3 linked regions of the Macaca fascicularis genome follow. The protein of the gene in region 1 interacts with the protein of each later gene in a pairwise test. Links are inferred from orthologs where the notes say so. Each region holds a gene or a part of one and is shown on either strand. Other genes may lie near its edges.

Region 1 (3,676 bases):
GGTGTGGCCGCGCCCTGTGTGTGTCTCTCTCTGTGTCCTGCCAGTGGTTTTACCCTATGGTAGGTTACGTCATGCTGTTCTACCACAGGGTAGAACCACGGACAGGATACCGGGGCACCCTCTGCGTCGAAGGACTCCTCGTCTGCCCAGCCACAAACAGCCCAGCAGCCGGGGACTGGCCTCCTTGGGACGTCCCCTTGCTGGTTTAGCTCAAGCCCAAAAGGACTCTGAATTCATGCCTGAGGCTCGCACCCAGGGCACGGGTGTTGATTCAGATGAATGCTTGGAAGTGTGGGAATGGGGATGGTGTTGGGGTCTGGGGTGAAGGGAGGGCAAAGCGCAAGGGTGTGGCGTAGCTGGTGGGTGTGAGGTTTCTAATCTGAAGGCAGCATGGATTACGTTTTCATGGATTGGGGTTGGGAATGTGGTGCTCTGTATTTACATTATGTTGCCCACCAGGTAGAGCGGAAACAGGGTAGTTGCTATTCAAACAGAACCTTTGCAGAAAAATTATTGTCATAAACACGCATCGTGCCCTTGTGTAGTGCACAGCCTATGCAACTGAGCATGGTGACAAGGACCCCCTTTACCATTAGAAGCTCTGGATATTGTGATGTAAAGTCTCGGAACACATCATCTGGGAGCCGACGGGGACACGTTTCCCCAAACATCATCCTCAAATGCAGTTGCCATTCTGTGTAGAACAGAGCCCACCCTGTTCACTGACCAGCTGTTCATATAGGTTAGCGCGGGTGCTTGTCACGGGGCTTGACTCCCTGGGACACGTGTCCCCAGACTACCTGAAACACAACGGTGGAGAGTCACAGCTCCTGTGCAGATGTGCACCAAGGAACCCATTATTCTTGTCTTTTCTTTCTCTTCCCTCACAGAGAGTGGTTTTTCCTCCTGTCTCACGAGGTGCTCAACCCTATGTATTGTTTATTTGAATACGCGGGAAAGAACAATTACTGCCTGCAGATCAACCCTGCCTCCTCCATCAACCCAGACCACCTCACCTACTTCCGCTTTATAGGCAGATTCATCGCCATGGTAAGGGGGCCCCAGGGGTCTGCCTGGTTCCCTCCTCTCCCTCCTCTTCCCTCTCCTGGTGAAGTGTGCCAGGGGCACCAGGGGAATCTGCTCTTTCTCTGAGACCTCCAGGAAGGGGCAGCATTGGAGGAGGCCCTGGGCCTGTTCACCAGGAGGCAGCGTGGCGTGAACAGCAGCCCCCGTGGACTGGCGCGCCCTCTCTGGGCCCCACCCTTCGCCCCCATAGAGCTCGTAACCTAAAAATGTAAAAAGCTGGAGAGAGTTCTGGAGAAACCAGAGCTTTCTCAGTGGCTGTCCCGCAGGTAGTGAAGAGTTTCCACGCTGCTTGTATAGGACTTGTCGAGAGGAAGCCCAGGGTCTCTGGGCCACAGACTTTACTGAACATTAAATATGCGCTCTGTTGAGGGCCTTGGGATGACAGGGCCAGGTGAAAACATAGCTGCCCACCTGCTGCCTGTCTCTGGGAGGTGACACTGTCACGGCATTTGGGAACGTCCCACTGAGACACTAAGCCTTCTGGAAGGACATTTGGAGTCAACACTAGCTTAGAACAAAACCCTAAAGTCTGTGGCCCAGAGACCCTGGGCTTCCTCTCGACAAGTCCTATACAAGCAGCGTGGAAACTCTTCACTACCTACAGGACAGCCGCTGAGAAAGCTCTGGCTTCTCCAGAACTCTCTCCAGCTTTTTGCATTTTTAGGTTACGAGCTCTACGGGGGCGAAGGGTGGGGCCCAGAGAGGGCGCGCCAGTCCACGGGGGCTGCTGTTCACGCCACGCTGCCTCCTGGTGAACCGTAAACTGGCTGGTGCAGGGTGTAGGGACGTATGTCAGAAAGTGGGCCAGTTCTGGGGAGGGGCTTTCCCAGCATCTGTATTTAACTGGAAAGAAGGACACGGTGTGAATAGGGAAAGGGAGGTCCTGCCACGTGCCCCCTGTTGAGGGTCTTGGGAGTGTGGAGAACCCGATTGAGAAGCGGGGACCAGCACGGGAGCCACATTCATAGCTTGAGAAGTTTCAGTTCTCACTTTCCTTCGCTTCTTCCCCTGCCTTCCTGAGCTCCCCTCTTAGGAGGACCCAAGTGTCCCAGGAGCCTGTGACTAAATATGGCCCTTCCCATCGTCGGGGAGCTCTTGGCCAAGGTGCTGGGCTCTGGAAGTGGGCACATTCTTCCCAGGTCTAGAGACCCGCCTGGCCCAGCAGCCAACAGGACAGACCGGTAAAACCCTAGACTATTACTCACCATTGGCCGCCAGCTCTCGCTGTCAGCGGTGTCTGCATTATTTTTGGCTGCCTTTGCCACCCACCCTGAGCGCCAGTGAGTCAGGGCTGCCACCTGGAGCTGCTCTGAGCAAGCCTTTTCTGTGAGCGTGGGACAGACCTTTGCTAGGCTGGGAGCCAGCCGGCCAGTGTGAGGGGCAGATGCGGGCCCGGACGTGGGTTCCCGCGCCAGCTGTCTCTGCCCAGTCCCTGCGGTCTGCAGGGCAGGGTGGGAGTCCCTCTGTAGGTGCAAGTCAGGACAAAGGCGTTGTTTGCTCCCGAGGCCCTCCCGCTGCGTCCGAGGCAGCCGCTGCTGCGGTTCTGTCAGGGAAGGCGGGTGGTGGTAGCGGAGTTTGATACCGAGTATCCGAGAGCCAGTCTTGGCAGTGCCTGGGGAAGGCCCAAGCTCTGTGCTGTGCCTCTTCCTTCCCAGGCGCTGTACCACGGAAAGTTCATCGACACGGGCTTCACCCTCCCTTTCTATAAGCGGATGCTCAACAAGAGACCAACCCTGAAAGACCTGGAGTCCGTCGACCCTGAGTTCTACAACTCCATTGTCTGGATCAAGTGAGCTCCCTCCCCCCTCACCCCACCGCACTGATAGGAGGGACGTCTCTGGGCAGGGAGCAGGTACCGACGGCTTTTATTTTGTCTGCCAGTGTGGCCCCTGAGCTCTTGTCCAGCCTTTAAAAGAGCTAGTGGAGAGGAATGTCCTCTGGGTCCCCCGTGGACAGTTCTAGAATCCCCTCCTTGAGTCAGGAAGCTGTCCCATGTCACTGTTCAGGATTCTAGGCCACCCGTGAACCCTTGGTGTCCCATGGGCAGCAGAGCAGGATCCAGGAAAGACCCTGCCACGATAGACATCTCCCGACTTGGTCTGCTGTGCCCCCAGAGAGAACAACCTGGAAGAATGTGGCCTGGAGCTGTACTTCATCCAGGACATGGAGATCCTGGGCAAGGTGACCACCCACGAACTGAAGGAGGGTGGCGAGAGCATCCGGGTCACGGAGGAGAACAAGGAAGAGTACATCATGTGAGTCTCAGGCGCCGGGGCCTCCGCTCCAGGGGCGGTGCGGAGATCTAGTTGGTTGCAGAGCAAGATGGGCCCCCACCTTGTGGCCCATCGGTCACTGTGGATGCCATCTCCATCTGCCTCGAAGGTGGCTGCTGATGGGCCGTCATGTGATGGCGCGAGCTGGGGGACCAGAGCCGAGGTCCTTAGTTACTGACTCCCGGCTGCACTTTTTCCCCACGTGGGAGACTTCAAGCCTCCAGGGTGGAATTTCTTTGAAGTCGCGTCAAGCTTAGACGTCTGCATCTTTCTCCAGGCCGAGAGGATCTCTGTGGCCTGCGTGCCTAGACCCACCG
Region 2 (3,676 bases), on another chromosome or scaffold:
TACATTTAAAAAAAAATGCCTGCAATGCTATTTCTCAAGACAGCCAGTTCATTGCACACTTAAGAGTAGGTACTTACTTCTGAATAAAGAGGCGGAGGCAAGAACCGAAACTCCTGGATATATGCAAACAGTGGTCCTTGAAGCGCTCTCTCAAAGTCATCACAAGCATTCACTGGTGCAAGATTGTTCCGCCTTTGTTCCTCTGTTACCACTTCTGCATAGCTGGGTGGTGCTGAAGGAAAAAGATACACGCAATTCGAACAGCATGTTCTTATGCATGTCAAAATACACAAAATAGTAGGTATTAAAAAGCAATGTCAAGGTAAAATAATAATTATTTGTTTGGTGATTAAAACTATGAAGACATATAATCAAAACTGAGTATTAGGGGCACATCTACTTTCTTTAGGGGAAGATTACATTCATCTAGGGTCATAAAATATCAGAAGCAAAATAATTTTCTTGATAATAATAGTAAGAAATTAAGCTTAGATATGTATTATCAAATTACCTTCAGGTCTTTCAGGAAGTGATAAACTGAGCCAGTTCATATTCATGCTACACTGACTGCTTACACTTGAGGTTCTGCTACCAAATGGATGTAGAGGAATGGTACCGATGACAAGTGGCAAATTAAGAAATAAATCCATAGCTCCAGGAATATCCACATATACCTAAACATTGCAAAGAAATATTACGTTTAGAATGCCAAGTATGATTTCCTTTTCAAAAACTAATAACCAATTTTAATGTTATTTGAAACCCCCATTTACTTCATTTTTTATCTTACATACATGAAAAGTTTCTCTTTTATGTATAATTCTATATAGTACATTTACATATAAGGTATAATTATAAGTCAAACTATATAAAGAGTTATGTATTTCATATGTCACTATATATGGAATTAAAAAACCTGGATGTAAGACAAAATTATGTCTCCATAACTTTAAGATTAAAAACAAAACAAAACAAAACACCAAAGACTTCTTGGGCCAGGCACTATGGCTCAGCCTCTAATTCCAACACTTTGGGAGGCCATGGTGGGTGGATCACTTGAGCCCAGGAGTTCAAGACCAACCTGGGTGACATGGTGAAACTCCATCACGACAAAAAATACAAAAATTATCCAGGCCTGGCTACAGGCACACTTGTATTCCCAGCTACTTGGGAGGCTCAGGTGGGAGGACCACTGGAGCCCAGAAAGCAGAGGCTGCAGCAGAGCTGAGACTGTGCCGTGGCACTCCAGCCTGGGTGACAGGTGTTTCAAAAAAGAAAAAAGAAAGGAAAAAACCTCTTAAATGTGTACATACCATTAGTGAATATTCCACACGGATTATACTACAGTCGAGGATAGAGGGAGAAACTGGTGGAATTTTCAGCAACTTGCCATTCCACGTCTCTGTCTTTCCAGATGATAAGGATTCCCCACGCAAGTTAGCCACAAGCTGTTTTACTTCCTTCATTTTCCCTTTGGCATAGAAGGCCTGTGTTTGGTAAATGGCTGCCTTTGGCACCACCATTCGGGAAGAGCAGTTCTCAATCTCAGCAAATATCTGAATTGATTCACCTAGAGAGGGAAAAATATATACATATCTACTGTTAGAAAAAAATAACAAAAGAAATCAAGAATCTTTTTTTTTTTTTTTTGAGAGAGTCTCGCTCTGTCGCCCGGTTAGAAAAAAATAACAAAAGAAATCAAGAATCTTTTTTTTTTTTGAGAGAGTCTCGCTCTGTCGCCCAGGCTGGAGTGCAGTGGCCAGATCTCAGCTCACTGCAAGCTCCGCCTCCCGGGTTTACGCCATTCTCCTGCCTCAGCCTCCCGAGTAGCTGGGACTACAGGCGCCCGCCACCTCGCCCGGCTAGTGTTTTTTTTTTTTTTTTTTTTTTTTTTTGGTATTTTTCAGTAGAGACGGGGTTTCACCAGGTTAGCCAGGATGGTCTCGATCTCCTGACCTCGTGATCCGCCCGTTTCGGCCTCCCAAAGTGCTGGGATTACAGGCTTGAGCCACTGCGCCTGGCCAAGAAATCAAGATTCTTAAAGCTAAAGTAAGAAAGAGCAACTAACATGCACGAAAAGGTGTCCTAGGAACTGCAAATAACTTAAGAGTCATAGAAATGAACTCATCAGTAGCTATTTGAAAAAGGAAACTACATTCTATTTTGTGAAAAAACAAATGGAAAAGCACAATTTGTAATTTCACAAAAGAATACGATATTATGTTGATATTTAATAGTTATATTATAAATTTATACACAAAAGCTAAGTGAAGAAAGTTTTTTGTGGGAATCTACCTCATACATACCTGGGGTATAGCCCTTCCTTTCAATTTTGGCACTTAAGGATATTGGGCCTGAGGTACAGAACCAGCAACAGAGTGTCTTTTCTTTTGTGCCTGCTTGGGGTGACTGTAAGAAAACAATTTAGAGAAAAAGGTCAGTGTATGGATTGGTACAATCAATACCAGAATATTTTAAAATATAATCCTAAATTTGTGGAAAAATAAAAATTAAAACTGGTTTTGCTTTTTTTTTTGGATCCAGATATACTTCTTATTTTTTAACTAATTGATGGTTTTGAATTATACCATTACTTTTATTTTTATATAAATTTCCATTCAATTAGAAAAAAAAGGTAAAGGGTGTACAGCGTTTCCCATAAACAGTTTTTTAGTTCACACTATTTACAAATACAGTAATGAAAAACCAACCAAATAAAAAAAACCCTTTCCACATTCCATTTAAACTGCCTTAAAAAGGCAGCACAGAAAGCAATCTGACTATAATTCCAAATGTTAACATCTTCCTCTGAGAATATAAAAAAAAATGTAAAAAAAGGAAAATGCCCATTTCTTATTTGCTTTAAAGATGTTATCATTTGTTTAAACCAAATACAGTTTTAAGTCAAATTTGATTTATTCTCAGACAAATGCAATTAAAAATAGATTCTTTTAAAAAAGGAGTTTTTTTAATGAAACGAATGATTCCCCATTATTTGACAACTATCCCTCTATTGGAATAACAAAGTATAGTACAAATTTTAGATTATGATGTTGTCAAGTTAAGTGATATTGTATTACAATAAAAGATACTACTGTCCTTCTTCCACTCAAATCATCCAAGGACCAGATCTGTTTGTTGTTATGGCTTTTGTTACTCATATTGTGAGTAAGAGATACTTCATATCATATACTGGTCTTAGTTTCATATTTACTTAAAGGTACTACAATGTCAAAAATGTGAGCATATTTTTCATTAATTTCAGTGTTCTTGACTGTATTTAAGAAAATGTATATTTATGGAATTTTAAAAGAAAACCAGTATTTTTAAATTATGACAACTGCATAGTTTAGGTGATTGATTATTCTTTAATATTTATATGCCAAAAACAAAGAATGAATAATTCAGTCAATTCTTACCAGTAATGAAGGAGTGTTGATATCTATATGCTCAAAGACTGTAAATTCCTTCTTTAATTTTACTGGTAGTAGCCAAGGCCTGTGCAATTCGGCTTTCACCCAATAGCGCACACTGCCATGTCGGCCTTCGAATGAGGTAGCAAGTGGTCTGTGCAGAATATAAAGGTCAATATATTAATTTTATACCTCTTTCTAACAATTACACAGTAGGTCAGAATAGAAGTGTTAATATATTGTATCGTTTATGTACCAATGAG
Region 3 (3,676 bases), on another chromosome or scaffold:
AGTAGAGACGGGGTTTCACCATCTTGGCCAGGTTGGTATTGAACTCCTGACCTCGTGATTCACCTGCCTCAGCCTCCCAAAGCGCTGGGATTACAGGCGTAAGCCACCGCACCCGGCGAGAATAACCTGTTTTATCCTGTACTCTTCTGTGCTGTCTAAACTTTTGTTAAACATGAGCATGTATTATTTTCATAAACATAACTTGACATGGAACGGTGCAGAGATCACAGCAGATGCTGGCCTAAGCTGGCAGTTCTTTGCCCTGTTTTCCCTCTGGCCTCCCTTTACTAAGTGACACCTGAGTCTATTCTTTCTAGATCACTTTTCTTCCAAACAACGTATTTTCTCAGTTCTACAAACATGTCATCACTACACTGGTTGACTATACAATACCTGGGTCAACTCTCACCAAGGAAATATCTGCTTGATGAAGCAATGTATGGTTGGCCTGCTTTTCTGATATGATATTTAGCAATGATGTAGTTCTCTTGAGTTCATCACAGTTTTGTCTGCTTGGACACAGTATTGCACGATCCAGTCTCTTTTCCAGTTGTAGCTCTGACCAAGGTGGCTGGTGTCAGGATATTACAATGGACGGACCTCTCTGACCTTCCCCTTCTCTTGTTCCTACTCACCTTCATCTCGAAGCACACACGGCCCCTTCTGACCCCATAGCTGGCACGGGCTCCTGACCACAGGTAGGCAAAGCCCTCAATTGTGAGCGGATAGCCACTACTCCGATCTCGGGCCACTTTGAAGTGGAGGTCGCAGTTATCTGTGAAGGAAAAAGCCCAGTTGGTTCATGTTTTTGTTTTGTTGAGACGGAGTTTCGCTCTTTTTGCCCAGGCTGGAGTGCAATGATGTGATCTTGGCTCACCCCAACCTCTGCCTCCCAGGTTCAAGCGATTCTCTTGCCTCAGCCTCCTGAGTAGCTGGGATTACAGGCATGTACCACCACACCTGACTAATTTTGTATTTTTTAGTAAAGACAGGGTTTCTCCATGTTGGCCAGGCTGGTCTCGAACTCCTGACCTCAGATGATCTGCCCGCCTCAGCCTCCCAAAATGCTGGGATTACAGGCGTGAGCCACCATGCCCGACCTGGTTGATGTTTCAAAAGTCCTAAGAAACAGGCAGAGGGAAGTTCCCCAAGTGCTGACCAGGAGTACACAAGTGAACACATCTTGGGGGCTTAAGCCATCCTCCCACTGCAGCCTCCTGAGTAGCTGGGACTACAGGGATATGCCACCATGCCCGGGTGATTTTTATATTCTTCGTAGACAGGGTTTTGCCATGTTGCCCAGACTCAAACTAGATTTTAGAATACAAAAAGGTTGATCACCACCACCATATATTCCGCCCTCTGTGCTAATTCTATCAAGTTGGGAACCAGACTTCTGTTTCCAACAGCTATACAGGGATCTGACCCTGATCCACACCTGCCACCCAGGAACCAATGCCCAGGTGCCCCATAGGCTCCTAATTCCTCTCATAGGCCTAGGATTTTCCTACTGTTGCTCTTACCCTTCTCAATATTCAAGCAACCAGTCATGCCTCCAAGAAAGCCTTTCCTGACCATCCCTCCCATGAGGCACTCTCCTTTCTCTGAAGGCTGACCACTGTGGTCGGTACATTTCCATTTCATCAGACACTGCCTCATGAACCACTGCCCCCCAACACTTTTTAAACAATGTTTACCTCTACTCTGGGTAGATTTTGTCTTTGAGAGCTTGCGATATTAGAGACCGTATATATCTTTATCTCTTACAGAAGCATGTAGCCAGTGCTTTATAAACATAAGCTTCTGTAGAAATAGATGAATAAATTGCTGCTTATCTTCTGCTCTGTTGAGAAGTGCAGTGTTCTCAGACCTGACTGGGCTTCTGGGTGCATATAAAAATTCAGATTCACAGGCTCTTCATTAGACTCTGACTAGGAGGTCTGAGGAAAAGGACCTTTATAAGAAATCCTCCAAATGCTCAGATGCGCAGCAAAGGTGAAAGCCACTTATCCAGTGGAAAGAAAGCTGAAGTGGAGGACAGACAGCAGGGTGGGCCAGGTTTGTGCCTCAGAGGACACAGTGACATTGGTTTCACCAAGAACGTGAGCAGCTGATGGAAACGGGAACTAGTTGTCAAAAGAGTTAAGTTTCCCCAGCAGCACTCAGATTCCCTTCCTGATTAGATGACAACCTCTGTGTGTACAGGGCAGTTCAGGGTTTTCCAAATTGCTCCTGTATCCACTGAGGAGTCTCCCTGAAAGTCCTCTGAGGTTATTACGGCAGAATTAACTGAAGGGAAGCTCAGAGAAGTAGAATGACTTGCCCAGGGTCCCACTGCTAGAGTTGGGAGTAGGTCTTCTGCCTCCAAACCAGGACTCTTGCTCCAGAGCTAAGCTGTGTGTCACATGTGGACTAACAATGTCTTTGGACGGTGCCAGGCAGGGATTCTGGTGAAGGTCAAGACACAATTTCCCCATACTGACTAAAAGGCAGAATTAGATGGGCACTCCAAAGACTTACAGGTGTCAATAGCAACAAGGGTATCATCAAAGTCATCTTCATCCTCTTCAGCAGGAGGCTGAGGAGAGCGGCCCCTGTGTTAGAAACGGGGGTTAAGTCACACAAGAACAATACATGAGCACAAAGGAAAGAAAATGAATGTTCTGCTATAATCTACAAGTGGCCTCCAGACTGCTTCCTGAATCTCCATTTCTTCCCACAGAAGTGGGCAAAAGAACTCTGGAACCATACATCCTTGCAATGAGAGCAATGACCATCAACTCCTAGGGTGGAGACAGGGATTGGAGAGGGCATGCTCTGCTGAAGGGGGCATCAGAATCATTTAGGGAACTTTTTTGCTCTTTTTTTACACCCTAAGATTCTAATCCATACCCTCTGCATGTTGACAACCACTTCCACACTGATCTCCGTTACTGTTTGGAGGCTGTGGTATCTCAAAAGGGTGCTGTCCAGGAAGGGGCATGTGCAAGAGCCTAGATAAATCCCAATAATTACTATCTATCCATGTACCAGGCTTCTTAAAATCCTACATCTGAGAGAATTTGAGATGACCCATTTTTTTCAGTGTCCTAAATTATAAATGATATTCATTTTCCTACCAAAACACTAAAAAAGGGACTTAACACTGTTGGTTTCTGCTGTACAGGAATGAGGAAGAAGGGTAGAAAGGTAGAGTCTAACTAACACTCAGGGTCCTGCCTGGACAGTCTGGGTGGTCACAGTGCACTGCATGCACAGATGGGGAGCCCATGCCCATTTGGCTGCTGACTCTCCCAGCAGCAGCCTTCCCTCTGGTGGAGGGCCCCTCTGGCCTCGCCAGGCCAGGGCTAACACAGATGAGTCTCTTTCCTGAAGAGCAGCTCAGAGAAGCAGAATGACTTGCCCAGTGTCCCACTCATGAAGGAGACTCATGAGACTCATCTTATGAGTCTGTGCTCATCACATGTTAAGTCCATTCTACGAAACTTTCCCTGCCAGCCCAGGATCAGAGCGAGTGTTCTTCCTCTGCTCTCCATCAGCAAGTAGCTTCTAGGCCTCTGCTCTGTGGCAAGCAGTGGAAGAACACCATATGAGGTGGGCTCCATGTCCTAACTTAAGTCATAGCCTGGGACATCCAGGCCCTGTCTCAGAGAGTAACAAGCTAGTAAGAAGGTGG

The links.
Region 2: the proteins of WWP2 (region 1) and ARRDC3 interact in binary tests that used the Homo sapiens proteins (3 or more experiments, as listed by UniProt). The link is inferred for Macaca fascicularis from reciprocal best matches to the Homo sapiens genes WWP2 and ARRDC3.
Region 3: the proteins of WWP2 (region 1) and HNRNPUL1 interact in binary tests that used the Homo sapiens proteins (3 or more experiments, as listed by UniProt). The link is inferred for Macaca fascicularis from reciprocal best matches to the Homo sapiens genes WWP2 and HNRNPUL1.

What each region holds. Positions count from the first base shown.
Region 1 is NC_088394.1:66,047,208-66,050,883, forward strand, and holds part of WWP2 (NEDD4-like E3 ubiquitin-protein ligase WWP2), read left to right. Parts: intron 1-890; coding exon 891-1,050; intron 1,051-2,741; coding exon 2,742-2,875; intron 2,876-3,200; coding exon 3,201-3,341; intron 3,342-3,676. UniProt on the Homo sapiens protein: E3 ubiquitin-protein ligase which accepts ubiquitin from an E2 ubiquitin-conjugating enzyme in the form of a thioester and then directly transfers the ubiquitin to targeted substrates.
Region 2 is NC_088380.1:95,368,840-95,372,515, forward strand, and holds part of ARRDC3 (arrestin domain-containing protein 3), read right to left. Parts: intron 3,568-3,676; coding exon 3,420-3,567; intron 2,410-3,419; coding exon 2,307-2,409; intron 1,571-2,306; coding exon 1,314-1,570; intron 675-1,313; coding exon 512-674; intron 271-511; exon of another isoform or gene 233-270; coding exon 78-232; intron 1-77. UniProt on the Homo sapiens protein: Adapter protein that plays a role in regulating cell-surface expression of adrenergic receptors and probably also other G protein-coupled receptors.
Region 3 is NC_088393.1:48,413,569-48,417,244, reverse strand, and holds part of HNRNPUL1 (heterogeneous nuclear ribonucleoprotein U-like protein 1), read right to left. Parts: intron 2,595-3,676; coding exon 2,521-2,594; intron 776-2,520; coding exon 636-775; intron 1-635.